Linked DNA regions of Sus scrofa. Each later gene encodes a partner of the first gene's protein in a complex. Links are inferred from orthologs where the notes say so. Each region holds a gene or a part of one and is shown in the gene's direction. Other genes may lie near its edges.

What was found. Proteins that work in one complex are often made in the same cells at the same time.
Region 2: the proteins of IRF2BP2 (region 1) and IRF2 are in contact, whole or in part, in a crystal structure (PDB 8YTG), measured with the Homo sapiens proteins. The link is inferred for Sus scrofa from reciprocal best matches to the Homo sapiens genes IRF2BP2 and IRF2. Residues at the interface, in NP_892017.2 of Homo sapiens: His517, Phe518, Val519, Gln520, Pro522, Phe531, Leu557, Trp564, Ala565, Phe566, Met567, Glu570, Thr573, Ile574; in NP_002190.2 of Homo sapiens: Arg331, Ala332, Ser333, Val334, Ile335, Lys336.
Region 3: the proteins of IRF2BP2 (region 1) and ZBTB16 are in contact, whole or in part, in a crystal structure (PDB 8YTH), measured with the Homo sapiens proteins. The link is inferred for Sus scrofa from reciprocal best matches to the Homo sapiens genes IRF2BP2 and ZBTB16. Residues at the interface, in NP_892017.2 of Homo sapiens: Thr516, His517, Phe518, Val519, Gln520, Pro522, Phe531, Leu557, Trp564, Ala565, Phe566, Met567, Glu570, Thr573, Ile574; in NP_001018011.1 of Homo sapiens: Arg285, Ser287, Val288, Ile289, Thr290, Ser291.
Region 4: the proteins of IRF2BP2 (region 1) and VGLL4 are in contact, whole or in part, in a crystal structure (PDB 8YTF), measured with the Homo sapiens proteins. The link is inferred for Sus scrofa from reciprocal best matches to the Homo sapiens genes IRF2BP2 and VGLL4. Residues at the interface, in NP_892017.2 of Homo sapiens: Thr516, His517, Phe518, Val519, Gln520, Pro522, Phe531, Leu557, Trp564, Ala565, Phe566, Met567, Glu570, Thr573, Ile574; in NP_055482.2 of Homo sapiens: Arg161, Ser163, Val164, Ile165, Thr166.

The regions. Positions count from the first base shown.
Region 1 is NC_010456.5:56,544,400-56,548,683, forward strand, and holds the start of IRF2BP2 (interferon regulatory factor 2-binding protein 2), read left to right. Parts: upstream 1-1,484; coding exon 1,485-2,535; intron 2,536-3,124; coding exon 3,125-3,840; 3' UTR 3,841-4,284. Other genes in the region: uncharacterized protein LOC110256820, read right to left, coding at 613-1,019, 1,081-1,486. UniProt on the Homo sapiens protein: Acts as a transcriptional corepressor in a IRF2-dependent manner; this repression is not mediated by histone deacetylase activities. Represses the NFAT1-dependent transactivation of NFAT-responsive promoters.
Region 2 is NC_010457.5:45,546,279-45,550,241, reverse strand, and holds the end of IRF2 (interferon regulatory factor 2), read left to right. Parts: intron 1-543; coding exon 544-590; intron 591-2,123; coding exon 2,124-2,432; 3' UTR 2,433-3,463; downstream 3,464-3,963. UniProt on the Homo sapiens protein: Specifically binds to the upstream regulatory region of type I IFN and IFN-inducible MHC class I genes (the interferon consensus sequence (ICS)) and represses those genes. Also acts as an activator for several genes including H4 and IL7.
Region 3 is NC_010451.4:41,828,036-41,831,535, forward strand, and holds part of ZBTB16 (zinc finger and BTB domain-containing protein 16), read left to right. Parts: intron 1-3,225; coding exon 3,226-3,393; intron 3,394-3,500. UniProt on the Homo sapiens protein: Acts as a transcriptional repressor. Transcriptional repression may be mediated through recruitment of histone deacetylases to target promoters. May play a role in myeloid maturation and in the development and/or maintenance of other differentiated tissues.
Region 4 is NC_010455.5:67,706,207-67,709,706, reverse strand, and holds part of VGLL4 (transcription cofactor vestigial-like protein 4), read left to right. Parts: intron 1-3,223; coding exon 3,224-3,446; intron 3,447-3,500. UniProt on the Homo sapiens protein: May act as a specific coactivator for the mammalian TEFs.

The DNA.
Region 1 (4,284 bases):
GGTGACGCGGCCGCGTTGGCCGCTGACCCCGGATCCCTGGAATGTGCATTCGTTCAATGGGGCCGCCAGTGCCAGCGGCGCCGAGTCACGTCCGCGCGGAGCGTGCGCACTCGGTGGCGGCGCACGCGGCCCCGCGCCCACGTCACGCGCCCGCCGCGCGGGCCTGCAGCAGGCGACCGGGATCCCCGCGTGGCCCGGCGGGCTGCGGACTGGGGAAGAGGGGGATCGGAACCTCCTCGGGCAGCGTACCCGCTCGCTCCCGGAAGGGCTCCGTAGAAGGGCGGGTGGACGCGGCCCTAGGCTTGGGCGCGCACCCTCCTGTTGTAAAAGTTTAGGGGACCGGCGGCGCGTGTGTCCTTCCCAAGACATGCGGGTGTAAAAGCACTCACCGAGGAGTTCAAATAAAGCTCCTTACAAAACTGTGAACAGCACTTGACTGAAAATCCCCATCCTCAAGATGCTACTAACAGAACCAGGTTACAGAGTGGCCTGGCTTTTCAAAACATGAGTTCTAGCACGGTTTGGCTCAAACAGCCCTAGACGAGAAGGAACTGCCTGAGCAGTCGAGGGAGCCGAGCGGGTGGAGGAAAGCAAGCCACACCAGCGACGGCTTCACGTCGGGGACACGAGCCGCGGCGCAGGCGGGTGGTGCTGACCCGCGGGCGGGCGCCGCGGAGCCGGCTCTCCCGGCAGCGCTCGTTCTCTGGCGGGGGGAGGGGGAGGGAGCGGGGGAGGGCGGGCGCGCGCGCGCGAGGGGAGGGGGCCCGCGCAGGCGCCTTGCGAGGCTGTCGAAGAATCAAGTCTGTAGAAGTGGAGCGGCCGCGGCGGCAGCAGCAGCAGCGACGGCGGCGGCGGAGCTGAGGCGGGCTGGGCGCTGAGGCGGGCGCTGGAGAGCGGCGACGCCAGGAGCTGTGAGAGAGCAGCGGAGCGACCCGGGCCCGTGCCGCGCCCGAGCTCCACGCCGCACGGCCGCCGCCGCCGCCGCCCCGGCGCGGCATGCCCCGCCGCTCGGGCTGAGCCTGCCCCGGCGGCCGCCCCCCGCCCCCCGCCCCCCCGGCCTCCCCGCCCCCCGCCCCGCACTCCGCGCCGGCCGCCGCCGCGACCTGCTGCGCTCCCCCGCGCCCGCGCGGCCCGTCTTCGCCCCGGTCTGGAGGCCCGCCGCGGCCCCGGCCGAGCCCCCGCCGCCGCCGCCGCCGCCGCGCCCGCCGCGCCGCGCCGCCCCGCCGCCCACCCGCGCCCGCGCCGGCCGGGGGGACGTGCTGCCGCGGCTGCAACCCCTCGCCCCGCGCCCGCCGCCCCTCGTGCACCGGGGGCGCTGCGCGGGCGCCGATCCTTCGCGGGCTTTGCCGCCGCCGCCGCCTTTGCGGCCGCCGCCGCCGCTGGTGGGGGAGACGCGGGGTTGGGGGGGGAGGAGGGCGCGCGTGGTGCCGGCGGGGAGCGGCGGCGCCCCCTCCTCCTCCTCCGGCGCCGCGGGCTCCTCGGACATGGCCGCGGCGGTGGCGGTGGCGGCCGCGTCCCGGCGGCAGTCGTGCTACCTGTGTGACCTGCCCCGCATGCCCTGGGCCATGATCTGGGACTTCACGGAGCCCGTGTGCCGCGGCTGCGTCAACTACGAGGGCGCCGACCGCGTCGAGTTCGTCATCGAGACGGCGCGGCAGCTCAAGCGGGCGCACGGCTGCTTCCCGGAGGGCCGCTCCCCGCCCGGCGCCGCGGCTCCGGCCGCCGCTAAGCCGCCGCCGCTCTCCGCCAAGGACCTTCTCCTGCAGCAGCAGCAGCAGCTCGGCCACGGCGGCCCCGAGGCCACCGCGCGCGCCCCGCAGGCCCTGGAGCGCTACCCTCTGGCAGCCGCCGCAGCCGAGCGGCCCCCGCGCCTCGGCTCCGATTTCAGCGGTAGCCGCCCGGCGGCCGGTCTGGCCCAGCCGCCAACGCCGCAGCCGCCGCCCGTGAACGGCATCCTGGTGCCCAACGGCTTCTCCAAGCTGGAGGAGCCGCCGGAGCTGAACCGCCAGAGCCCTAACCCGCGGCGCGGCCACGCCGTGCCTCCCACCCTGGTGCCGCTCATGAACGGCTCGACCACGCCGCTGCCCGCCGCTCTTGGCCTGGGCGGTCGCGCCGCCGCCTCACTGGCCGCCGTGTCCGGGGCCGCGGCTGCCGGGCTGGGCTCGGCGCAGCCGGCCGAACTGGGCGCCCACAAGCGGCCGGCGTCCGTGACGAGCAGCGCGTCGGCGGAGCACGAGCAGCGCGAGGCGGCAGCCAAGGAGAAGCAGCCGCCGCCGACCTCGCACCGCGGCCCGGCAGACAGCTTGACCACCGCGGCCGGGGCGGCCGAGCTGGGCACGGAGGGCGCGGGCAAGGGCCGCGGGCCCGGCGATCAGGACTGGGTCAACAGGCCCAAGACGGTTCGAGACACGCTGCTGGCGCTGCACCAGCACGGCCACTCGGGGCCCTTCGAGAGCAAGTTTAAGAAGGAGCCGGCCCTGACTGCAGGCAGGTTGTTGGGTTTCGAGGCCAACGGGGCCAACGGGTCTAAAGCAGGTAGGGGCGGCTGTGGAGTGAGGTGATCTCGGGGCGAAGAGGGGACGGAGAGCAGAGGAGGGGGTGCCCTTCCCATTCACCATTTCTCCCCCGGCCGGCCCAGAAACAACAAACACCCAACTTCCTGATTTGCCCGAGGCGGAACCAGTGCTTAGTGGCAACGTGTTCCTGTGCTGAAGTAGCACAACAGAGATGAGTCAGACCGGGCTGATAGGCACTGACACCGGGTTTTCCTTTCCCAGCACATTCTTGGAGGAGAGCAGGAGAGCACCAGTCACCTTTTAACCTGCTGGGGGACGTTAGCAGTCGTATGCCCGGTTTAGCCGGGCTACATGCTTGCGTGTGTCAGAATAGGCCGTTGTGTAGGAATCGTTTTCTGTGGCTTTTGTGTTTTTGAGTGGCATACTGCCTCAGCCCTGTAAGTTAAGTGTTTTAAGTTACACGTGCTCTTGAAAGCTCACGTGAGTTTTTATCTACCAGCTTTCAGAGAATAAAAATGCTTTAGCGAATTTTGTTTCATGTTAGTAAAAGGCCTTTCCGGTGCACCTTTATTTATTTTCTCTTTTCCCTTTTATTTCTCTTTTTCCAGTTGCAAGAACTGCAAGGAAAAGGAAGCCTTCACCAGAACCAGAAGGTGAAGTCGGGCCCCCTAAGATCAATGGAGAGGCACAGCCCTGGCTGTCCACATCCACTGAAGGGCTCAAGATCCCCATTACGCCTACATCCTCTTTTGTGTCTCCACCACCACCCACTGCCTCACCTCATTCCAACCGGACCACACCGCCTGAAGCGGCCCAGAACGGCCAGTCCCCCATGGCAGCCCTGATCTTAGTTGCAGACAATGCTGGAGGCAGTCATGCCTCTAAAGATGCCAATCAGGTGCACTCCACCACGAGGAGGAACAGCAGCAGTCCACCGTCTCCGTCCTCTATGAACCAAAGAAGGCTGGGCCCCAGAGAGGTAGGGGGCCAGGGGGCAGGCAGCACAGGAGGACTGGAGCCAGTGCACCCCGCCAGCCTCCCGGACTCCTCTCTGGCAGCCAGTGCCCCGCTGTGCTGCACCCTCTGCCACGAGCGGCTGGAGGACACCCACTTTGTGCAGTGCCCGTCCGTTCCTTCGCACAAGTTCTGCTTCCCTTGCTCCAGACAAAGCATCAAACAGCAGGGAGCTAGTGGAGAGGTCTATTGTCCCAGTGGGGAAAAATGCCCTCTTGTGGGCTCCAATGTCCCCTGGGCCTTCATGCAAGGGGAAATTGCAACCATCCTTGCTGGAGATGTGAAAGTGAAAAAAGAGAGAGACTCTTGACTTTCCGGTTTGAGAAAAACCCAATGATTACCCTTAACTAAAACTGCTTGAATTGTATATATCTCCATATATATAAATATATATATATATATACACACATATATATATATATATCCAAGACAAGGGAAATGTAGACTTCATAAACATGGCTGTATAATTTTGATTTTTTTTGAATACATTGTGTTTCTATTTTTTTTTTGACGACAAAAGGTATGTACTTATAAAGGCATTTTCTTCTTTTGTTAACGTTATTAGCATATCTTTGTGCTTTATCCTGGTTACCTTTCAATGTAGGCTGTGACTTGCGCTGCTTTTTTAGGGCACTTGGCAAATCAGAACTGCTTCTAGCTGTATTTGTATGCACTTATTTTAAAAAGAAAAAAAAAAGCCAAATACATTTTCTGACATTGTAAGATTGCCTTACCGTCTGTTATTCCTTATTGC
Region 2 (3,963 bases), on another chromosome or scaffold:
CAGAGCCACCCTGGAATCTGCCCACCCACAGTAACCCAGCAGGAGGATGCCACTTTATAAATCCAGATGTCCCAGGACTGGAGCAGCAGAGAGGGAAAGGAGGGGCCTGAGCAGAGAGCGTGGCTCATCTGCAAAGACCGGGCTGGGACTGAAACGAGCTACCTGGGAGAGGAGAGTGGTGTGGGGCGGTAAGGACCGGCCAGCCTAGGGCCTGGGGGGCGGAGGCAGATTCACCACAGGGCCCAAACCCCATCCTGGGGAGCAGAGGCCATGACTGCCTGTAGCCTGGCCCAGAGCAGATGAGCTACCCCTCAACCCTCAAACTTTTCTCCAAAGGCCCAAAAGTTAGAGACAGAAAATGCTGTCCCGGCATCTCCTAGGCGCCAGCATTTGCCCTGACAAAGCGGACAGAGGTTAAGGGTATAGTGACCCATTTCTCTGTCCATGAAAGAAGTGCTGATCTAGTTTTTCAAATGCTGCCTGAGCCTCGAGACGGTGTGGAGGGCAGGAATGATGGCCCTGTGTGTTTTTCTCTCTGAACAGAAAGCGAAACTACCGATAGTGTGCCCAGTGATGAAGAGAGCTCAGAGGTAAGTACGGCGACCACACTGACTCCAGCAGATGCTGGGGGGAGGGGGTGCCTGGGGGGGAGTCAGGGGGGCTTCTCAACCAGCACTTTGGGTTCCTAGCTGCTAGTTAGGTTTTTTTCTTTTCGATCAAGAGTTTCCCTTTGGGATTTTTGTTTTTTTTTGGTGGTGGTGGTGGTAAAATATAACATAAGATTTACAGTGCTTTTGGATTTCAAATTATGAAATGAAACTCAGGGGACTGCATGGGAGCGAAAATGTTACCATGCGAAAGGAGGCTGGAGGATGGCAGGAAAAGGCCAGGAAACGTTGATAATCTTACCACCATAAACATCCTGAGGCCCAAGCAGAAATAGAAGGTCCAAGTGGCCAAAGCTCACATCAGGCAGTGCTAAGCAAAAGTAGCACCCCACCCCCACATACCTGGAGTCCCCACCCTCTGTGATCCTGCCCAGAAGCCAGGTGTGTGTTGGTCTGGATTCTGAGTCTCCTCTTCTGATCTCCCTCCTCTCAGCTGGGAAAAGGGCAGGAAATGGCTATAATGGTGATGGAAAGCATTCCTGCAAAGCCTGCTCTGTGTCTGCCTGTGAGGAATGGAGGGGAGAGAGAGAAGTTGAGTAGTGGTTGTTTGGATTAGTGATTTCCCGATGTACTAAATACTTTCAAGTATAGGCCAGGAATTCTGAAAAGACAGTAGTTGCAGGAACCTATGTATATCCGGACCCTGTTTCTTCAAGGTCAGTATTCCAGCTCCTTCTCTGAACAAAGCCATCCTCAAGGCCAGCTACTTGCCTGCACGCTGAAGCCCTAAGCTCCAAGCCATTTGAAAGCAATCTGGGGGCATTCCCTCCCTCTGAAAACCTTGACTCCAAGGTCGGAGGCCAGCTGTGAGGAGCCATCCTCCGTGACACACACCAGTAGTCCAGCTCTGAGCTCCCTAATGATGAGGCCGAGCAGCTAGAGTAGAGGGAACCAGAAACCCAAGTTGCTGCCTTGTTTCCTGCCCTCATAGAACAGTCTTGGCTAGGTTTCTGGGAGGTGGCAGATGGCCTTGATAAAAAGGGAAGAGGCCATGGCCGGGGGTGTACAGAGCTGGGGGAGGGTTTCAGTCCAGGGACCTGGAGACAGTTGCTAAGCTGTTTCTTTGGTCCACGCCCCTTGAGAAATTCAGGCACCGACACCTGGGAAACATGGTGCTTCTTTTTCTCTTTTTCTTTGTTGTCTTTTTTAGGGCTGCCCTTGCGGCATGTGGAGGTTCCCAGGCTAGGGGTCGAATTGGAGCCGCAGCCGCCAGCCTTACACCACAGCCACAGCAACGAAGGATCCAAGCTGCACCTGCGACCTGGACCACAGCTCATGGCAACGCCAGATCTTTAACTCACTGAGCGAGGCCAGGGATCGAACCTGCGTCCTCATGGGTTCTAGTCAGATTCATTTCCGTTGAGCCGCAGTGGGAACACCCATGGTACATTTTTTTAAAAAGCCATACAGAGAAGGCCAGGCAAATAGACGTATCTTGATTCTTGTCCTTGGAAGGGCCGACCTCACTGGCGGAAGAGGAACATTGAAGGCAAGCAGTACCTCAGCAACATGGGGACGCGGACCGCCTACCTGCTGCCCAGCATGGCAACCTTCGTCACTTCCAACAAGCCCGACCTCCAGGTCACTGTCAAAGAGGAGAGCTGTCCGGTGCCTTACAACAGCTCCTGGCCCCCGTTCCCAGACCTCCCCCTCACAGCCCCCGGGACCCCGGCGCCCAGCAGCAGTCGGCCGGACCGGGAGACCCGGGCCAGTGTCATCAAGAAGACATCCGACGTCACCCAGGCCCGCGTCAAGAGCTGTTAAGCCTTTGACTTCCCCTGGTGGTTGTTGGGATTTCTTGGCTTTGTTTTATTGTTTGTTTGTATTTTATTTTTCTCTCTGACATCTGTTTTAGACAAATCTTAAGGGAAAAAGCCTTGACATTAGAACATTGATTGCTGTGTCCAACTCCAGTACTGGAGCTTCTTTTGAACTCAGGACTCCAGCCCCTTGGTAGACGCGTGATCTCTAGAGCCTGCTGGATCTCCCAGGGCTGCTCCCTCAAGTTCAAGAACGTCATAGGACCAACACCCACACGGGCAGTGAGGTGCTGCATTGCCTGCGGTCAAGGCCAGCGTGGTGGCGTGGATGCCTCAGAATGGATGAGAAAATGTGAACTAGCTAGAATTTTTTATTCTTGTGAATATGTACATAGGGCAGTACTAGCGACGTTGCAGTCTGCTTCTGCACCTTATCTTAAAGCACTTACAGACAGACCTTCTTGTGATCTTGCTCTGTTTCACAGCACCGTCAACACCCCCTTCCCTGCCCTCCTCCCCTCCCCTCCCATTTCCTTCCTCCTTTTTTCTCCCTTCAAAGGCTGTGTCCCACATCCCTGAGGAGGAGGAGAAGAAAATGAACTTCTCCGCAGATGTCCCATTTTCAGACTGCTTTAAAAAAAAAAAAAAAAGAAAAAAGAAAATCTTTCTAATCTGCTATGCTTGAATGCCACGCGGTACAAAGAAAAACTATCATGGAGAGATTATTCAAATTCCCAGATTTGAAGACGAAAATACTCTAATTCTAACCAGAGCAAGCTTTTTTATTTTTTATACAGGGGAATATTTTATTCAAGGTAAAATTCTAAAGAAGATATAATTGTTTTTTATCTTTTCTACAGCAAATTTATAATTTTAAGATTCCTTTTCTTGTTTATCGGCAATTGTTATTACATCCTTGTGGCACATTTTTTTTTTAATTTTGTAAAGTTGAAAAAGCTTTTATGAGCTCATGTAGCAATCAAATTATCCTGTGGACTGATAATAAATGAATATGATATATAGTTAAATTTTTAATGGGCATCTTGCCTGGCTTTGTCTGTGGGTACCTGAGCACTATCGTGGGATAGGACTGGCAGAGTGCCCTTTCTTGTGACCAGTAACTGTCCCCCTTTCAAGCCTAGAGGTACTTGATGGGGGCTCCCCCCCTGAGCTGACACTGTGCTGAATGTGCATGATGAATTCACTTCTTCACTCATCGAGTTGTGCTCAGGGTGGGGATGTCTCTCCAGTTCACAGGAGGAAATGGAGACCTAAAAGGAAGATGCCTTGACTCAAGGTCACATAGGTAGTAAGAGTCAAGGACACAAGCTAAGCCCAAAGCTGCTGTGACAATGGAGGGAGTCTTTTTTTTTTTTTTTTTTTTTTTTTTGTCTTTTTAGGGCTGAATCTTCTGCGTATGGAGGTTCCCAGGCTAAGGGTCGAATCGGAGCTGTAACTGCCAGCCTACACCACAGCCACAGCAACGTGAGATCTGAGCCATGTCTGCAACCTACACCACAGCTTACGGCAACGGC
Region 3 (3,500 bases), on another chromosome or scaffold:
TTGGCTCATCTGGGAACCATGGAGCCTGTGTGCTGCCTGCGTCGATTTCACACCAGTGGGCCCTGTGCGCCCAGCCTTACCCAGGCCAGCCCACCCCCACACAATGCCTCATTAATATTCTGTCGTTCTTGGCCCATTTGCTGCTGGGGCCGGGTGTTTAGCATCGGCAGCTGTGTTTGGTAGGTTAGTCCAGCCGCGCTCTTGGCATTGATGGATCCCTGATTCACACGGCTCGTCATATAATAAACTCTCAGCTGTGTTGAAGGGGTTGGGGGGCTGAGGGGCCGACGGGATGGGGCTGGGCTGGGTTGGGGAGGGTGACACAGGGCCTCCGCGATGCCAGGGAAACCACCAGGTGAGAACAGATCCCTGGGGTCACAGGTGCACAGGGCAGGCCGGAAGGGGGTCTAATTAGTCTCGTTTGTCCTGCACTTAATGTCAAGCTCATTAAAAAGGCTACAGAGTTAATCAACATACCACAAATTGGATTTTGAGTTCTGCAGCCAGTTTTGTGTACATTATGGCAACACTGATACGATTAACTCTCAGGGTGAGGATTTTAGGCCAGGTGCTCACCGTGCTTCAAAATCCCTGTGCGTGTGTGTGTGTGTGTGTGTGTGTGTGTGTTGGTGTCTTGTCCTTTTTTTCCCCTAGGTTCTATTTATTCCTTTCCCTAGGCTGACTCTAGAGATTTCCTATTTAAACTCATTTAACATGTGATCCACTTCATAATTAAATTCATAAAAATCTGATCAAACAAACCCCTCTGCCTTAACCCTTTGTTTTTTCAACTCCGAGGGCCCCCCTCTGGAGGGGAAAGGCACAGACGGCGGCTCCACCTCCGGGCCGAGCGGGCTGCCGATGTACGTTTTAATTACCGGCTCCGGCTGAAGTCTCACGTGGCCCTTGCTTTATTTATTTATTTCTATCTTAATGAGGATACTGAATCCTTGATTAAAGTCGTAATCGTTGCCGATTCGGTGAGGAGGGGGGAGCTGGCTGTCAGCCGGGGCCGTGTGGGCAGATGTCTACACGGAGAGCGTGGCGTCTGGGCCCAGGCTCTGCCCGCCCGTCCCTGTTAGACGCACACCTGATGAGGACCAGGGTCTGCATGGCATCTACTCTCCTGTGGTTGGATGGGGCTGGTGGCGGGGGGCCAGGCCGTCTGCATAGTCCCTGCAGCCGGGGGCAGGCAGGTGCCAGGAACCGAGGGCACCAAGGACCTGCCTCATCACCAGATCTGCATGTGGGGCTCACTTCTGAGCCCAGCGCGGTGCCCCACAGCATGGTGGGAGCTGGTGTGGAGCAAGAGACGTCTTTGCTCAGCATCTCCCCTCTGACTCCTCCACGGGAGGGCTCCCACCCACCCGGGCTCCCACCCACCCTTCTACGCCCTGGGAGCTTCGTGCAAATCTTCCACCCATGAGAGAGCCTGCCAGCGAGCGGACCCCAGCGTTCACTCCCCACAGAGCCCTAGAAACCCTTCAGAGACATCAGAAGGGATGAGAATGTATGTGGGTACCGGGGTCTACCTTCGAGAAGGGGGAGGTTTGGTTAGCGGCCTGAGGACGGGAGAGAGAAGAGAGTAAAATATCATTTTAAAGAGGAAGTGAAGGCTCAGGCATGCGAGTCTATAACGAGAAGGACAATTTATGCCCAGGCACGAGCGCAGTTTGACATGGGGATAATGAAAAAACGTAGGTCATTGTGGATGACTTAAACCTTCAGCAGCTGAAGAAAATGTATGAAATGCAGAGGACATTACACGGTTGGCAGCCCCGCACATCTGCAGAGGGACAAGTGAAATACAGTGGGCCATTCTTTACCATAAACTGTGGTTGTTGGAGATGCAGCCCAGAGAAATTGTAATTACAGTGACAAGACGAATCAGCGATATTTAAATATTCATGAACAAAGTCTGGGGTGATCAATCTATCTTTATTGTCTGTGCCTTCACTCCTGTAATAAATAAGTAGCTGAAGCCCTCACCTTTCATCCCTCCAAAGCCCCCACTTTGGGTGCAAAGGGAGAGATGGTGAGCCCCCACACCCCAGCTTCTAACCCGGGAGGAGACTTCAGGGTGGAGTGCACGGAACGGAGGCTGATGGGCGCAGAGGCCGGGCCGGGGAAAGGCAGCTCTCCCCAAGCTTCAAATCCTGACATTTCCTGGGCGTCTGCTCAGTGTTGCCCCTGTGCTTCGTGTCAAGGCTCCAGGGATGAGCAAGGCTCCCTTCTGGCCCTCGTGGTGCTTTCATTCTCGAAGCACAGTGAGTGTGACCAGAGATACAGTACAGTATGTCAGTTACCATTCTGCTAAGCAGCCAGTGCCCAGCCTCCGGAACCCAACTCACAATCCCATCTCAGCTGCTTACTAGCTCTTTGACCTTAGGGACCACGTTGAAGCATCTCTAAACATCTCACTTCTCTCATGGGTAAGATGAGAAGGATACTGTCTTTCTTGTAAGGTTGTTGTGATGATTGCATGATATGATCTGTGTGAAGTTCTTAGCACAGTATAAAGCACTCAACAAATGTGGGTCACTTTAATTAGAAAGTGCGGTAAAAATTGTACTCCTGCTACCAAATGCATTTCTGTCTGGGAATAGAGGAGAAAGTGACTCAGTTTACCTGGGCTGGGGCAGCAGAGGATGGCGCTAAAAGGAAAGTTCCAAACCGTGGTGATGTGGTGGGAGCTGGGCTTTGATGAGCGAGTAGGAATTCACCAAGGAGAGGAGAGGAAATCACACAGCAAGAACAGCTGCATAAGACTGTGGAGGAAGGAGAGAAAGATCAGAAGGCATTTGGGGGACAATGAGAACATTGGAGGGGTTTTTTTTGAGGCTAGGAGAGTCAGGCTGGTATGGCTTTTGCCTCTGACCTCCTAGGGGCAAGAAAGCTGGGGGCAGGGTCTTGAAGCCCCTGGGTCTGTTCTGCCCTCAGACGGTCTGCTTTCTGGGGGTTCTGTTCATCCCTGAATCAAACAGACTCTTGCCCAAGACTGGCCCTTGAGGCATGGATGGCCACTGGGCCAAGGTCAGGGATGGACACATGTGGCCAGGTGTGCTCCCTGTTGATGCCAGGGGCCAGCAGCAAGGGCCACATTGTCTTTGGAGGTAGTGAGTACAGACAGTCTTACCCCCTGCCCATGCACTCAGCGTGCCCTGCTGTCCCCCAAAGAGGGGGCAGGGGAAGGCGAGGGCCTGATTCAGCCTCTTGTCCCCACAGGTGACCACCCGTATGAGTGTGAGTTCTGTGGCAGCTGCTTCCGGGATGAGAGCACACTCAAGAGCCACAAGCGCATCCACACGGGCGAGAAACCCTACGAGTGCAATGGCTGTGGCAAGAAGTTCAGCCTCAAGCACCAGCTGGAGACGCACTATCGAGTGCATACAGGTACCCAGGACACGCAGCCCATAGCCAGCTCTGGGACCTGGGTGGGAGAGGGCCACGGTTCCCAGAGAAGCCCGGGTGAGGAGGGTCCCAGGCTGAGCCAGCACGAG
Region 4 (3,500 bases), on another chromosome or scaffold:
ACCCGCTGAGACACAACAGTAACTCTTTAATTTTTAAAATTATTATTTTAAAATTTTATTTTAATTTAATTTAATTTTTTATTTTTTGGTCTTTTTGTCTTTCTAGACCCACACCCATGGCATTTGGAGGTTCCCAAGCTAGGGGTCCAGTCAGAGCTGTAGTCACCAGCCTATGCCACAGCCATGGCAACACTGGATCCTTAACCCACTGAGAGAGGCCAGGGATCGATCTTGTGTCCTCATGGATGCTAGTCGAGTTCACTAACTGCTGAGCCACAACAGGAACTCTGATTGTTACTTAATTGTGATACATACATAGTGCCATTTTAGGCATTGTTAAGTGTAAGGTCCGGTAGCATTAAGTCTCTTCTCTGAGGAAGCTTTAAAAATTAAAGATGCTTTAACAATTTGATTATTACTAGTTGGGCTGTGAAGGTTTAGTACCGGCCCACAGGTTCACAGAGGGTGGATGTTCTGTGAGGGATGAAGGGCAGAGGGAAGGGGGTTGAGTTGGAGACAGGCCCTGTCCTGCGACCCTCATGGGCTCTGCTCCCTCCTGGCCTCGCCCTGTTCCCAGTTTCTTCCTGCTTTGAACTCCATCTAAACTCCACCCCTGTGCATAGTGGGTGTTGCCACAGTGTCAGTCCACTCCTGCCAAGAATGTCCTGCACCCCACGCAGTCATCCTGTCACCTCAGGCATGTTTAGTTGTTACCAGAGCCTGGGCCCCAGGGTGGGGAAGCCAGGGGGCAAGGGCTGGACTGGGCCTTGTCTTACCTGGGCCGAAGGGTCTGCAGCATGGGGACCCCCAGGGCCCCAGAGCATATCCTCCAAAGGATTGACGGAAGTGCCTTAGATCCACTTCCCCTCCCTTGTCCTAAGAGTTCAGACTCAGGTTGGTTTGGTTAATTAATGGCCGGATGAGGAAGGGTCCCCGGGATGAGGATGGGTCGGCAGTGAAGGAATTCAGTTCAGGCCCGAGAACGTCAAGAAAGACTTTCCTGGGGGTTTCCTTCAGCTCTGAGCTCCAGTAGGTCAAAGGGCAGAGCGTCTCATGTGAATGAGTTCAAGAGGCTGTGGTGCACTTTTCTCACGTGATGGACTCCTCACACTTTCGTTGCCCGGAGTCGAGTGAACCTCCCCCAGCTTCACACCTCACGGGGTGGAGTGGCAGCACGTGGCATCCATTTCTCCAGAGCACTTTGTCCTGCAGGAAAGCATCACCTTTTTACTTTGTGGCCCCTTCCCTGTTCACCTTCCTGAAACGGTTGGCTGAGGGGATCCCCTCCCCAGGACAGGAAAGGGTCCCTGGGACTTGGAACAGTCCCCGAGCCCTGGTCACTGGCGGGTTCTCAGCATCTGGCTGCCCCTGAGCCCTTTGGGCTCCAAAGGGGCTGCACTTGGCTCCTCACGAGCAGACTCCCACTCTGAGAACGGAGGCGACGTTGGGGCCTCTCGGGCAGGAAGAGTGTGGTTTGGGTCCATGAGCACGACGCCCGGGAAGCAAGGAGGCTGGGCTATGATTCACCGGGGGTGGAAAACAGTGTCTGTCTTGAAGCTCCAGCAAGTGAGCTGGAAATGTGAGTCATGTATAATTTTACTAAAATTAACCAGCGGGCTCTTCAGACGTTTGCTGTGTGTTTCAGTGTCTTTTCTGCTGCGCGATGCCCACCGTGTCCTGCCTGTGGTGGCCTGCTCCCCCGAGTCCCGTCCTCAGGGCCACTGGGTGTGGCTGTGAGCACAGGTGACACACCTCCGGCGCTGACTCTGCCATGCTTCCGTCGCCACGTGGGAGCCTGATGCCCCAGCCCCGGCCTTCCTGTCCTCCCCAGATCACGGGTCTAGGAGAAAGCAGTGCCATGTGTTCCTCCCTGGGACCCGCGGGATGGGCTGGGTGGACACTGGGTGAATATCGTGGAGTCGGGACTGGGCGGAGGTAGACTGACAACAAAGCTCGCACCTCTGTCCCTAAGCCTGCTTGGGCCCCAAAACCTCACTTTTTGGGGGAGGGAGGGGAGACTGTGTCAGGGAAGCACAATTTACATAGTTTGTCATACATTGCATTTTATTTTACTCCAATTTAGAAAGAAAGCTGATACTGAAAGTGAGTCTGTAACGGTGGGGTCTTTCACACTCTGAGAATTCAGATACTTAGTCATAAACATCCGTCCGGTAAACGCCAGGCCCTCTCCCATAGGCCTGAAACCCCTCAGGCGGGCATGGCACTTCTGTGAGGTTCTGCGGGAAATCGGCGCTCGAGATCACAGCCGCGGAGACTCTGCCGTCAAGGCCTGTGACGCCTTCTGAATCATCATGGGAAGGCCTGTGGCTTGTGTGGAGTGCTTCTTCTGGACTCTGACCAGAACCCGCTCCATGGTGGTCCCAGTGGCTGGCCGTGTACCATGTAATTGCCTCCAAGTCCTCCTGCAGAGCAGACCGGAGAGTAAAGGGAAGAAATGCTGTGCCTTTGCAGTTAGTTCCTCTGTAGCTGATGAACTATGTTTGCGGCAGATTTGGTTCCGCTAATGCTCACAGATCCCCTGCCCTGTACCAGTGCAGTCCTTTATGTTTGTATAATGGCCCCTCCCCACTGAGACCCTCCGAGGCAGCTCTTTTGACCAGGACACCCCCGTCTGTGGCCTCTAAGAGCCGCTGAGGCTTGCGAGGGCCTCACCCCCAAGCCCCTGCCACCTGACAGGCACGTGCTCCATCTGCAGGGTGGCTCCTCTGGGGAGGGGTGGTTATGGGGTCTTCCCAGTGCTGTTGGGGAGACCTCATGCGCTGAGGCTGGTGAGGCCTGGAGCAGGAGCCGGCGTGTGGGAGGCATCGGCTGCTTTGGCATCATCACCGCCTTCATCCTTGGTAATGGCAGGTTCTTGTCAAACCAAGCCAGCCTCAAGCACACAGGTGAGGTCTCAGGGCTGTTAGCCAGGGAGTTGTAGAAGCACTCTGATGGGCCGCTGCCTTCGTCTGGATGGCCCCCTGGAGCCGATTCGGGCCTGGGAAGGTTCTTCACCCAGCGCCAACCTGGGCGAGCATCCTGGCTCTTCAATACCAACTAGCTGTTTGACCCACACCTCAGAAAACGGGGCGATAGTGGTGTGGGACTTCTCCACAGCAAGGTGGGGGGCGATGGGATGGGTGAGAGCGCCTGGCTGTGGTCGAAGGCCCCTTCGCCCATGGAAGCTTCAGGTTCCCACCTGAGCGCTCACTCCTCTTTTCAGGAGCAAGACTGCCAATGGAGACTGCCGGAAAGACCCCCGGGAGCGGAGCCGCAGCCCCATCGAGCGCGCCGCGGCCCCCACCATGAGCCTGCACGGCAGCCACCTGTACACGTCCCTCCCCAGCCTCAGCATGGAGCAGCCCCTCGCACTGACCAAGAACAGCCTAGACACCAGCAGGCCAGCCGGCATCTCACCCACCCTGACCCCAGTGGAGCGGCAGCAGGTATGTCTTTGTTCTGTGGCGCTCGGCTGGTGGCTGGTAGTGGGTCCAGGCGCC